Macaca fascicularis: one gene and its partners. The protein of the gene in region 3 interacts with the protein of the main gene of each other region in a biochemical or structural test. Links are inferred from orthologs where the notes say so. Each region holds a gene or a part of one and is shown on either strand. Other genes may lie near its edges.

The links. The genes of interacting proteins can lie anywhere in the genome.
Region 1: of the proteins of ELK1 (region 3) and MAPK9, one has a biochemical effect on the other in vitro, tested with the Homo sapiens proteins (2 studies listed by BioGRID). The link is inferred for Macaca fascicularis from reciprocal best matches to the Homo sapiens genes ELK1 and MAPK9.
Region 2: the proteins of ELK1 (region 3) and SRF form a complex in vitro, tested with the Homo sapiens proteins (2 studies listed by BioGRID). The link is inferred for Macaca fascicularis from reciprocal best matches to the Homo sapiens genes ELK1 and SRF.

The regions. Positions count from the first base shown.
Region 1 is NC_088380.1:187,169,372-187,173,760, forward strand, and holds part of MAPK9 (mitogen-activated protein kinase 9), read right to left. Parts: intron 3,389-4,389; coding exon 3,259-3,388; intron 1-3,258. UniProt on the Homo sapiens protein: Serine/threonine-protein kinase involved in various processes such as cell proliferation, differentiation, migration, transformation and programmed cell death.
Region 2 is NC_088378.1:128,355,999-128,360,387, forward strand, and holds part of SRF (serum response factor), read right to left. Parts: intron 4,251-4,389; coding exon 3,984-4,250; intron 2,394-3,983; coding exon 2,132-2,393; intron 1,552-2,131; coding exon 1,432-1,551; intron 117-1,431; coding exon 1-116. UniProt on the Homo sapiens protein: SRF is a transcription factor that binds to the serum response element (SRE), a short sequence of dyad symmetry located 300 bp to the 5' of the site of transcription initiation of some genes (such as FOS).
Region 3 is NC_088395.1:47,747,788-47,752,776, reverse strand, and holds the start of ELK1 (ETS domain-containing protein Elk-1), read left to right. Parts: upstream 1-1,651; 5' UTR 1,652-1,824; intron 1,825-4,989. Other genes in the region: protein UXT, read left to right, coding at 113-176, 362-415. UniProt on the Homo sapiens protein: Transcription factor that binds to purine-rich DNA sequences. Forms a ternary complex with SRF and the ETS and SRF motifs of the serum response element (SRE) on the promoter region of immediate early genes such as FOS and IER2.

The DNA of each region.
Region 1 (4,389 bases), on a different chromosome or scaffold from region 3:
AAGGAGCACTTCCCACTTTGCTCCTTACTTTTCTCTCTCCTGCCGCCTTGTGAAGAAGGTGCCTGCCTCCCTTTCATCTTCCGCCTGATTGTAAGTTTCCTGAGGTCTCCCCAGCCATGTGCAACTGTGAGTTAATTAAACCTTTTCCTTTATAAGTTACACAGTCTCAGGTATTTCTTTACAGCAGTGCAGGAACGAACCAATACACCCCATGGTGTAAACAGCGAGTCCCACGGCTTAGGCACCAAACACATAACCTAAGTCATTCCAGATGACTGAGGGAAAGATGAATTATCCATTATATAGGATTGGGGTGATCGGTTAGCTAAGGACAAAAATAAAACTGCATCCATATTTCAATCTTTATACCAAGATAAACTCAAAATGGAACAAAGATTTAAATCTAAAACATGAAATAAAACATCAGAATATGATAAACATTTATATAATCCTGGTGTAGAAAAATCTTTTCTAAACCTGACAGGAAACCTAAGGGATCTGATTACATTAAAATGAAACAAAAAAACAGGCGATAAAAAATCAGTATGTCAACAACATAGTCAAATGGAAAAAAAGAAGTAAAGGGCAATAGTTTTAATATTAAAAAAAAAAAAAAAACCCTCCTTCAAATGCAGAAGAGACCAGCAGTCCAAAAGAAAAATGGATAAAGGCCATAAAAATTAAATTACCAAAACACATAAAAATAAATGACAACCTCACAAATAAAAATATCATTTATCTATCAAATTGGCAAAAGTAAAACAAAAAAAAATCAATGGTATGTAGTGCTGGGGGATTCTGAAGTAACAGACATTCTCAGATACTTTTTTTTTTTTTTTTGAGATGGAGTTTCACTCTTGTCGCCCAGGCTGGAGTGCAATGGTGTGATCTCGGCTCACTGCAACCTTCGCTTCCTGGGTTCAAGCGATTCTCCTGCCTCAGCCTCCCGATTAGCTGGGATTACAGGCACCCGCCACCATGCCCAGCTAAATTTTGTATTTTTAGTAGAGACAGGGTTTCACCACATTGGCCAAGCTGGTCTTAAACTCCTGACTCAGGTGATCCACCTGCCTTGGCCTCCCAGTGTTGGGATTACAGGCGTGCACCACAGCGCCCAGCTGACACTTTTTTTTTCAAGAGATGGGGTCTTGTTTTATTGCCCTGGTGTGCCTTGAACTCCTGGCTTCAAGCGACCCGCCTGCCTCAGCCCCATAAGTAGCTGGGATTACAGGTGGAAGGGACCATGCCCAGCTTCTCAGATACTCTTAATGAAAATATCAAACTAATAGTCTTCCTTGAGATCAATTTGTCAGTATATATTAAAGTAGAATATATATAAACCAGAAGTGTGTACTCTGACCCGGCAATGTTGGCCAAGAACTTCACCTGGACAAGTGTGCAAAAATTCAGGCGTAAGAATGTTCATTGCAACACTGCTTATAACAGTGAGAAACAAAACAATCTATCCAACAACAGGTGGTTGGCAGTCTCTTAAATTACTGTGCATCTGCGCTATTCAGTCATTTAAAAACTGGCTTATATCTATGTTAATTAAAGTACATGAGGTCAACCCACACTGCGTGAGGAGAAAAGCAGGATGAAGAATAACACGATTAATCTTGTTTATGTACTTGTGTACATGTATGTATAAGAATGCTCACCAAATTGTTAATGCTAGTACTCTGTGGGTGGTGGTAGTCAGGAGTTTTTACTTTTTTATATTGTTTGAATTTTTAAAAATAATATATATTTTTTGTAACCTGAAAATTTTTTTAAATAAACAAGTAAAATAAAGCATGCATTAGAGAAATTAAAACCAACTCAAGCCACAGACTCAAAAGAAGGAAGCTCAGGAGTTTAAGACTAGCCTAGGCAATGCGGTAAGACCCCAACTCTACAAAAAATTTAAAAAATTGTCAAGCATGGTGACACACGCCTATAGTCCCAGCTACTTGGGGGGCTGAGGTGGGAGAATCACAGCCTTGGTGACAGAATGAGATCCTGTCTAAAAAATCAACACAAAACAAATAAAAAAACTCCTTCCAGATTTAACATTATTTATTTATTTATTTATTTATTTATTTATTTTGAGATGGAGTCTCGCTCTGTCGCCCAAGCTGGAGTGCAGTGGTGCGATCTCTGCTCACTGCAAGCTCCTCCTCCCGGGTTCACACCATTCTCCACCTCAGCCTCTCGAGTAGCTGGACTACAGGCGCCCACCACCACGCCTGGCTAATTTTTTGTATTTTTAGTAGAGACAGGGTTTCACCGTGTTAGTCAGGATGGTCTCGATCTCCTGATTGTGGTGATCCACCCGCCTTGTCCTCCCAAAGTGCTGGGATTACAGGCGTGAGCCACCGCGCCCTGCCAACATTTTATAATTTTATAACTTGGCAAGGTTATCAACGTAATGCTCAGCAGCGACCACTAGGAGAACATACAATGTGCCTGATTGAGCACAACTTCATTTTCTAGAAACATTATTTCTCCATAAAATTTAGTGCTTTGATTTCTGTGGCGCTTCCAAGAATAGCTACTCTAAATGTGACATCATCTAATAAGTGTATTTGAAACTGAGATGTCATATACAAGGTAAAAAATTACTTATAGAACAACATCTTTCCACAAAATATTTAGTTGTTTCTCAATTTGTTGGATCAATACTGTTCCTATTTTACAGAAACAGTATCAACTGATATTCCTACTCTGGTTGAGTGACCTAAATTCCTATGAACCATAATGATGCCTCTTTTCAGCTTTAATTTCCTCAATGTTTATTAAGAATTTTATCAATAAAAAATAGGCCGGGCACAGCGGCTCACACCTGTAATCCCAGCACTTTGGGAGGCCAAGGCAGGTGGATCAAGAGGCCAGGAGATCGAGACCATCCTGGCTAACACGGTGAAACCCCGTCTCTACTGAAAATACAAAAAACTAGCCGGGCGTGGTGGCGGCGCCTGTAGTCCCAGCTACTCGGGAGGCTGAGGTGGAGAATGGCGTGAACCCGGGAGGCGGAGCTTGCAGTGAGCCGAGATCACGCCACTGACCTCCAGCCTGGGTGACGCAGCGAGATCCCATCTCAAAAAATAAATAAATAAATAAATAAATAAATAAAATAAAATAAAATAACAATGTTAATAGTCACTTTTATCCTTAGCTTATCCTAGATCTGAACTCAATGTATCTCCAGAAGACCCTGAAGATTCTCACATTATTGACAACATGGAAGCACACAGACAAAATACACACATAACTTACATTTTTATGATTGACACATTTTAAGAGGACGAGTTCACGATAAGCTCTCTTTGCATGAGTTTGGTTCTGAAAAGGACGGCTTAGTTTCTTGACTGCAACATTTATCCCAAGAACTGTATCAAATGCAGCACTAGAATTAGGAAATATAATGCACAATCCATTAGAACCGTTTTGGAAAACACAGCAATGCCAGAATATACATTGAATATATTATCTTTTTAATAAGTAACAAGGAAAAATCTGCTTATTTCCATTCAAGGTACCACACATATGAAGAGCACAGTGAGCTGGCTAAGACTACAGCATGGACTAACCCCTTTGCAGAGACATATTTCAGCGACAGTTAAGACGGGGTTCAGCAATCCTTCACGTACCGTTTTCACAGTTTAGACTACATTCAAAACCAGGTAATTTAACATAGAGTGCATAAAACCAGTCAAGAAATGAAATCTTCAGTTTAAACATGACAAGAAGTTGGAAACAAAGTCACTGTTATCCCATCTTAAAATGTGTATATTTTGGAATATCACAGTAGAGGAAATGGTTGAGTTGATGAGAAGAATACAATAAATCTAAAGTTTGAGTCATTGTGTTTTTTTCTTAGACAACAGTATCTAATAAGAAAAGAAGCCAAAATTTCAGCTCATGGTAAATGCCCAAGATACAAAATCTCTAACGTAAGCAACTGCTATATAAAGTTCTTTTAGAAATATCTCCTCCTACTACTATGGTAAGAATAAAATTTAAAGGCTGTGTTTCCAGATCTCAAGTTTCCTGTTGAAATTCTGTTCATTTTCCCCCAGAAAACAGATATGAAAAATCAAGTAGCCTGATGGCACATTTTTAGGTTTCTAACTGGTACTAAATAGTACCATTTCTGTTATGACCTCTGGGCTACCCATCAGGGCTAACAGTTACTAAAGGCCACCTGAGAACCTAAGCACTGATTTAAATATTGCTTCTATTTCTTTATTCTATTGAGTTTATAACATTGTTTACATTTATTCTCTTCTATTAATGCTTTTTGCCAAACAACTCGAACTTAATTCAACGTTTTAAAGTTAAAGGCTGTCTGCTGTAGCATTTGGTTAAGAAGCTACCTTACTTTAATTCAGTTAATATTATGTGTCT
Region 2 (4,389 bases), on a different chromosome or scaffold from region 3:
GCCATCACCCAGGCCTGAGGTGGGGGCATACATCACCGCATGCGGGCTAGGGTACATCATGTGGCCACCCACAGTTGTGGGCACGGATGACGTCATGATGGTGGCGGGCAGCGTCACTGGCAAACACAGACATGTGTCAGCTCGGTACTGGTCCCTACTGATATCTCCCATTCCCTAGGAATTCCAGGCCCCCAGAGCCCTCTTGCCATTTCCCAGGTCAGAAGCTAGACACGACTATTCCTCCGCTCCATCATCAACTAAGAAAAGCCTATTTTTTCTTGAACACAACAGCATCAATCTTTAATTGTATCCTATCACATTGTACTATTCAACTGTCTATCTGCTGAATTCTCTAAGTCCCAAATCTTGGGAAAAACAAAGATTATGACTGACCTACTCTCAGAAAACTCAGATACTCCCCTTTTAGGGAACTCTAACATCTTATTTTTTATTTGTTTTCATTCTCCCTCCTTCTTAATGCACAGCTAACAAATTCATCTTTCAAACAACCACTTCTCAAATGTTAATGTGCATTATATGGGTATCTTGTTAAAACACAGACTCTGGGCTGGGCGCAGTGGATCACACCTGTAATCCCAACACTCTGAGAGGCCGAGGCAGGCGGATCATGAGGTCAGGAGATCGAGACCATCCTGGCTAACACAGTGAAACCCCGTCTCTACCAAAAATATAAACAAATTAGCTGGGCATGGTGGCAGGCGCCTTTAAGTCCCAGCTCTCGGAAGGCTGAGGCAGCAAAATGGCGTGAACCCGGGATGCAGAGCTTGTGGTGAGCCAAGATCGCGCCACTGCACTCCAGCCTGGGCGACAGAGTGAGACTCTGTCTCAAAAAAAAAATAAAAAAACACGGACTCTGATTCAGTAGGTTTGGGGTAAGACTCAATATTCTGTATTTCCAACAAGCTCCCAGGTAATGCTGGGTGTTCCCAGTCCATAGGCCACACTTTGAGTAATAAGGTTATAAATAATAAGAACTTAAAATTAACTTTATTTTCAGAGTATCTCATCATTTCTAAAATGTCTAGAGATACCTGAGGGTAACTGTGGCTACTCAAAACCTGTAAGACCCTCACACAAAGAGAAAATTGCTCTCTAAGTCCTTCTTGATAATTAAGCAAACGTGTCTTTGAGCAAGTAACTTCTTATTTCTAGGCCTCAGGCTCCTCATCTGAATGAGAAGGTAGCATCAATGGTCCCTAATTTTCTTCTGGAATCCACAGCCCACTGCAGGGCGGGATTCAAAACTCAGTCATCCTCACCTGACTTTCCCATAATTATTAGGCCAAAAGCCTCAATCTCCACTTTAAGAAATCCCTTGACTTTGGTTATAGGAGGGTTACTGTTGGGCACCTACTGCTAGGCCGCGTGGGGGAAGGCAGGGAGGGAGGGTGACAGGGCTGCGAGCTATACCTGTCCCGCTGGAGGAGGTCTGCGTGAGGTCTGTGCTGCTGTCACGGGAGGGAGACGCCTGCTGTGGGGCCTGGTGCACTTGAATGGCCTGCACTGGGACCTGCTGGGCCACTGCCCCACCTGCAAAATACAGAGTCTTATTTGTGCTCTGTCCCACCCAATTGCCACCTCCACCAAGTACCCATGGACACCCCAGTCCCAGGGTCTGGCACACTGGCCCCCAACTCCCATCACTATCTTTCCTGGAAGCCAAAGAGGCCCTTCATGCCCGAATCTCCCCTCTGGGGGCTTCCACACTCTGCTCTTGCCCATCCCTCCTCCTCCTGCCCTGGGCCTTGCCTCTCTTTTCTTCAGTTGACCCAAGAGCTGGCAATAACCCATCAAGGACATGATCTGCCTTCCAGTCAAGGCAGGAAGTGGTGAAACGTCTACTGCCCTGTGGCAATAGGGGCACAGGGCTGGGGTAGCTAGACAGGGCCAGAATATATGGTTGAAACTTACTGACAAGGACAGCAGGGGTCTCAGTGGGCAGAGGTATGCCTGCCAACGGGACATAAGAGGCTTCTCTCAGGCTCTGGCCCCTATTCACCTTCCTTCTGAGCAGGGAAAGAGGTTCTCTTGGTGCCAGCCCTAAACACACTCTTAGCATGCTTGATTTGCCCCAGAGAGGACGAATCTCTCCCTTCCCCTCGTGACTCACCAGGCATGAGGGTGAAGCTGGTAGGCAGCTGCATAAGGCCCCCAGAGGAGACAGGGCCGCTGCCTGTACTCTTCAGCACAGTCCCATTGGCACTGCTGACAGCACTGGGGCTGACACTAGCAGACACTGGTGCCAGGTAGTTGGTGATGGGAAAGGAGGGGCCGCTGCTGACTTGCATGGTGGTAGAGGTGCTAGGTGCTGTTTGGATGGTAGAGGTTGTACCCGGCAGGTTGGTGACTGTGAACGCCGGCTTCAGTGTGTCCTATACCCAGAGTAAAGATGAAGCAATGAGCCTCTACCAGACCCTGCCTTTGCAGAAGTTTTGTGTGGACTGAGAACCCAGACTGAAACCAGTGAGCTTGGGTTCAAATCCCAACGCCACATTTACCTGATGCCTCACTCTTGGGTAAGTTATTGATATACTCAGCTACAGTTTTCTATCAGTAAAAGGAGGATAATACCTACCTCTTAGGTTGCTGTAAGGATTAAGTAGGTTAGCATACGTAAATCACTTAGAAAACAGTACCTGGCACATAAAAAAATAAATAAATATTTGCTGCTCTTATGATGATGATTATCATTTTCATCATTATAATCCCCTGAGTCCTCTGCTCCAGTGGACTGTGGTAATCCCATTGGCTGGAGAGTCAGGACACCAAAGTCTGTTCCTAGCTCTGGTAATGACCATCTAAGTGACCCTGAAATAACCACTCCCCTTTTCTGAACCTCGGTTTTCTTCTTCTATAAGCATAAGGGGGCTGGGCTGCTATGTTTTCTTTAAGAGTTCTTCCAGTTCTAATTTGTCAGGCTTCTGAGATATGAACTGAGAGTTTCTCGGGGAACTTAGAGTTTGAGAGAGATCTTGAGGGTCTGGCAATGACACACTATATGTCAAACACCCAAGATGTAAACTACCAAAAGAATGTACTCATCCAACAAAATTTCCTGGGAATAAATGAGCCCTGCTGTTATAAAAGTTTAAAAATTATTACAGATGATATACCACTAAGAGAGCGGGGAGCCTACAGCACTGACTCTCTCCTCAGGAAGACTTCCTTCTTAGAAGGGGAAGGAGGAAACTGAGAACCAAGCCACCAAGCCCAGACCCGAACTGAGTCAACCAGAAGCTCAAAGGCTGGGGGGGTGGGTCAGCACGAGACGTTTGCTAAGCAGCTGGGCCCAAGACCCTTGATTGGCGGAGGCGTTGCTAAGGCAAACAGTACCGCTTCTTCCCATTGGCCAGTCAGTTAAGTGCCACCCGGAAGGTGGAGCTCCCCAGACAGCAAGGGAGGAAGCCCCACCCCCTCTCCTTACCGGGAAAAGGAAGGGGTAGGAGTAACAGCGCAGGCATCCCTAGCAGCAGGCAAATGCGTTCCCTAACTGCCCAGGCCCCCAACACCCTGAAGGGGCAGGCGGCTGGCTTGTAAGGTAGTCCCCGGTCCAGTCAACTAGCCCACCTGCTAAGAGTGCTGGGTTCTCAGGACCCCGGAACCGGAGTGCTCCCTTTCTACTCCCTGGCGACCAAGCCCGGAGGGCCGGGCTAAGCTACACCCCCGCCCCTAGCGGGGAGACAGCTGGCGGGAGGAATGCAAAGGCCCTGCCAGGCAGGCGGGCTGCGGGCGGGAGGCCGGCGTGGAGCCCGAGCCGGCCTTATATGGGCACGGAGGCCGCCCGCTTATCTAGGGGGCCGGTCTTCTATCAGGAAAGTGAGGATGGACACCTGTCCCCTAGGACAAGGGTCGTTAATCAGGCTCCACTCCACATCAGTGGGTACCTATCCACCTGCCCTGGGCCAGAAAGAGAGAGGGACCCCCCTCCCTTCCCTCCTCTCACATAGGCAACCCAAACACACCTTGGTCTCCCCACTGCTGTCAGACTCCGACACCTGGTAGGTGAGATCTGTCTCTTCAAAGCCAGTGGCACTCATTCTCTGGTCTGTTGTGGGGTCTGAGCGGGGTGGAGAGTCTGGAGAGTTGAGGCAGGTCTGAATCAGTGCCTTGCCGGTCTCACTGGTGATCATGGGCTGCAGTTTTCGTGTGGCAAAGGTATACACATGGCCTGTCTCACTGGCCACCAGCAACAGCACCTGTGTCCCTGTCAGCGTGGACAGCTCATAGGCCTGAGGGGTGAGGACGGAGATGGGCAGGTCAGCAAACTTTTTATCTCTACCTTCTTTGAGAAGTTGGAAAAAGAATTATATAGTGATGTCATTCCCCCATTCCCATAATGACCTTCGTCTCTAGTGATTCTGGGGGCAG
Region 3 (4,989 bases):
AGTGAGCCAGGTGGAAATCATCCAAGATACAAGTAGATCTTGAAGTGATAAGGAAGGGTCCTCCTCATACTCATAAGTGGGGACCATTTTGCCCTTTGTTTCTTTTCTCTAGGCTCAGCAACAGCCTCACCAAGGACTCCATGAATATCAAAGCCCATATCCACATGTTGCTAGAGGTGAGAGCAGCTCACCCCACTACCAGACTCTGTGTTTAGGGTGGTGACCTGAAGAAGGGGGAGAGCGAAAGAAGGGAAGGACCATCTTTCCCTTTAAACTGGAGTCAAGGGAGGGAGGTCAGAGCAAGCCTGGGGGCGTAACCCAGACTCAATCTTTGTTCAGTCTCTTCTGTCCTCTTTTTCAGGGGCTTAGAGAACTACAAGGCCTGCAGAATTTCCCAGAGAAGCCTCACCATTGACTTCTTCCCCCCATCCTCAGACATTAAAGAGCCTGAATGCCTTTGAGTCACATGGCCCTTCTTTTTCCCCATAAACCCTGCTGGTTGCCACGGGGGCCTGTTCCTAGGGCACAAAGTTACTGAGAGACCCAGAGATCCAGTCTCTTTCTGTGGAACCTCTAAAATGCCCCAACAGTCCTGCCTCCAGCCTGTTGCCTGGCAGCATTTGCCAGTTGACCTTGTGCACTGCCCTCTCTCCTGTCATTTTGGCAACCTGGGCCCCCACCTCACCCTTCCATTCCTTTTCCTAGACACCACCCATTGAATTGCCATAGAGAATGGGCCAATTCATGGTGGAGGTTTGTTCATTCCCACAACAATCAAAGGGCCCTAAGGTTTACCCTTTCACACACCCAATCGTTACCCTAAATCCATCTCAGCCCTACCTTGTCCTAGCCCCTGCTATTGTAAGTGGTTCCAGCTTCTAATAGGCACGGAGCTGGATCCCGCTCTCCCTAGTCCGGCCCCTATTCTAGGTTGAGTCCAGCCTCCGCCAATCAACGCAGAGCCAGGTTCCTCCCCTTTTTAACTCTGGCCACAGTTCAACCCTGCCCTCTGAAGGCATTTCGTTTCTGCCACTCAATGCTCCTTCGTGTGCCTGACAGCCATCCTGCCTTCCTACCGCCGCTGTGTTCTAAATTCGTCTTCTACCCAGCTCTATGGTCTTCTCTAACCAAAGAATTGCCCTGCCCGCCTACGCGGAGCCCAGCCCGACCCACTCCCGCCGACTGCTACGCCCATTTCTATACAAGTCCTGCTTCCGCTGAGCAGCGTGGCGTGCGGCACCACCCCCTTGGTGTTTTGGCAGGGGTCTAGGAGTCCCTCATCCGCCAATCAGAGAAAAACAGGGCTACCCACCCCCGTCCTTGGAGGCTGTCTTCCATCAATCCCATGTAAGCCAATCAGTGTGAGGCAGCCCCCCGCCCTCTACACACACGCCCCGAGCCTCGTCAGTTGCTCACAGTCCGTCAGTCCTTGAGCCAATCGGCGTAGAGCACCGGGAAGGCCGAACGCGCCTCCTCGGGACTCCAGGGGCCGTGAGCGTTCCATCATTTCCCCTTAGGCCAATCACGGCACAGCTCTGTGGGGAAGGGCCCGTCCCCCAACCCCTCGAGGCCTTGCGGCCGATTAATAGCGCTTTGGCCAATCAGCGAGCGGCGGGACACTGGGCTCCTCCTCCCCGGGCCCACGTGAGCCGTAGGGAAACGCAGGGGCGGCTTCTAGGTGCTGCCGCCGCCGCCGCCGCCACCGCCACCACCACCGCCACCGCCGCCTCGGAACCCAGGCCTGGGGGGCGGTGGGGCCGCGTATGGAGCCCCCGCCCCCCGGAGCTGCCAACATTGCCAACGCCACCGCCACGCTACACACAGGTGAGCTCTGGGCCTGGAGGGTGGAGGGCCCCGTCCGTGACCCCACGTATCCTTCCCGCCCCCGCGCAAAGGATGTGGCTTGGCCGGTGGCCTGCTGGTGTTCGACTCCCCGCCGCCACCACCACGGCTGGTGGACCTGCGTGTGGCATTGCTCAAGCCCTTCGTCCCTTGTAGTGGATCTGACCGTGGCCTAACCTCCCCCTCCCGTTGTGTAATGGATCGGTCTGCGTGCTTATGTTTTTCCCCACGCCAACTTAGGGTGGACTCGTCCATAGGCTTTCCCCCTACCCCCACCCGCCCCCCACCCACCCCCACTTACAGGGAGCCAGCCTGTGACAGTGTTCAGCCCCCTTAATAGTAGGTGTATCTGAGTGTTTGGATTTCTCCTAGCCTCAACTTTCATAAGACCCGTTCGTGGCCTTGTTTATTCCACCCCTCCTGTACATTGTAGCGAAATCAATCCGTGGCGCCGCACCCCTCCGCATCCCTCTTTAACAGTGAGTCTACCTGAGTTTGTATTCCTGCCTCCTCCAGTCCCCCAATGCATCAGTCCATGGCTTTTTTCAGAACCACCTCCCCCCCGCCCCCACCACCACCACCATTTTATAGTGGATCAGTCTTCATGTTTGGATTCACGTCCCTTTAGCTATCAGTCCATTGCCCTATCTGCCCTCTCGTTTTCGTAGATTGTCACTCTAGCCCTTGGGGTTCTCTCTTATTTTTAATAGTGGGTCAGTTTAGTGCTTTATATCTCCCTATTTTCAGTAGCTCAGTCCATAGCCTTTTCCCTCTCTGCTTTGAATCAGTCTGTGTGATGGCTTTTCTCTCCCTTTACTGTGGTGCAGGAGTCTGTAAGGTTTTCTGCTCCCCTTCCCCTCAGGCGATGAGCCTCATCACCCCTTCCCTTTGCAGTGGATCTGTTCATTGGCCTTCCTCCCCCACACCCCTGTATGCTTGCACAGTCCCCCGCATACCGTCCCGTGAGTCCAGTGCTTTGTAATTGGGGGAAGGTCGGCCGTGTACTTTCAATTTCCTTCTTTTTTTTCCCCCTTCCCAGAAGAGAACGTGCTGATCCTCTTTTCCTTGTGGAGCAGTGTATGGCCTTGCCTGTCCCTCACCTCTTAATAGTGGGTCAGCCTGATCACACTAGTAACCACAAAGACGTTCTGCCTCACTACAATAAGTGAATACATTAGCAACAGTGATGATGGTAATGCCAGTAGGAGCTAGCGTTTATTGAGCACCTGCTGTGTATCAGGCAGAGTGTTTCATATGAATGAGTTCCTTTAATCCTCACCACAACCCCATGAGATAGGTAGTGAGCGAGCTGGGCCATAGGAAGGTTAAATTCCTTACTCAAAGGTGGCCCAGGAAGTACTCAGGACACAGGATAATTTTTGAGGCTCCCCTCTTAGACCGCATCCCACCCCACGTGAGGCCTCAGTCCTTAAAAACCAAATTAGTTCCCACCTCCAAGCTTTTGTTCTTGCTGTTCCCTCTGCCTGCAGAGTGGTCTTCATTCCCCACCTTCTCTCAGCACCCACCCACCCCCCAATACCAGCAGCTGTGTGACCTTCGATGTGTGATTTAACCACTTCCTCTCTGTACCTTTTTCTTCATTTGTGAAATGGGGGATCAGAACTAGAATCCCCTCCAGTGTAAATAAATATTACCTGTGAATTAATGGTGAAACAAGTAACCTTTCTAGCATTACCGCCTATACCTTCCCACCCCCTTACTGTGCTCCAACCACACTGGCTCCACCACACAGCTCCTCAAACATAGCAGGCATGGGCCAGCCTCAGGGCCTTTGCATTGGCCGTTCTTTGTGCCTTGAACACCACCCCCGGATCTCTGCATGGTTCCTTTCAGCACTCTGTTCAAATACCAACCCCCAAAGGATGTTTACCACACTGTGGTGTGTGGAATGCAGTATAAAAAGATACATGTATCAAAGATGTTTCTAAGAATGCCAGTTTATATATGAGTAAGGATTTTCCTCCTTTTCAAAAGGATGTGTTCACAAGACTGAGGTATGTAATATGCTCTGTAAAGTTACAAATATAAAAGCTGTTTCTAAGAGTGCTACTTGTATATGTGAATAAGGACTGTGTTGTTGCATTGAAAGAATGTGTTCACAAAACTGTGGTGTGTAGCTGGGCACGGGTGTGCACCTATAGTCCCAACTACTCTGGAGGCCGAGGTGGGAGGATCACTTGAACCCAGGAGTTCCAGGCCAGCCTGGGCAACATAGTGAGATCCCTGTCTCTGAATAAAAACCAAAAAACAACCACTGTGGCGTGTGTAATACACTCTCCTAAAGGCACAGGCATAAGAGATGTTTCTAAGAGTGATTTGATTTTGTTGTACCTGGGTAGTGTTATTTCAGTAAAGATTGATTGTCACACCATGGTGCTTGGAATATACTATACGAAGGCACATGTATAAAGAAGAAGTTCCTAACAATGCTACTTGTAAAAACAAAAAAAGTCAACCCCTCCCTGGCCATCTGAAGCTGCACACCCAGCAGGGCTCAAGCCAGGTCCCTGCTTTGTCCCATTGCCCTTTATCACTGTCTGACACACTGTGTGGGTTGTTTGTTGTCTGTCTCTCCACATTAGAATGTGAGTCCCATGAGGACTCAGTTTTTGTCTGCTCATTCACTGCTATGTCTCCAGCAACTGAAAATGTACCAGGTAAACAGCAGATGCTCAATAAGAATTTATCCCATGAATAAATGGGAAAAAGATAATTTCAGACACCAGCATAGGGGTCAGATGGGGAAGAAGAAGGGATATGAGAGCTAGTTAGTTGGGGCTGTTCATGCAACCAACCTTTACTGAGCCCCTCGTGAGTACCAGGCACTCTTCTAGGTGCTGGAATATGGCAAGGAACAAAACAGGCCGAAATATCTGTGCTTGTGGAGCAGACATTTATTAAAGTTGGGGAGGCCGGGCGCGGTGGCTCACGCCTGTAATCCTAGCACTTTGGGAGGCCGAGGTGGGCGGATTGCCTGGGCTCAGGAGTTCGAAACCAGTCTGGGCATTACGGTGAAACCCCGTCTCTACTAAAATACAAAAAATTAGCTGGGCATGGTGGTGTGCGCCTGTTATCCCAGTTACTTGGGAGGCTGAGGCAGGAGAATTGCTTGAACCCAGGAGGCGG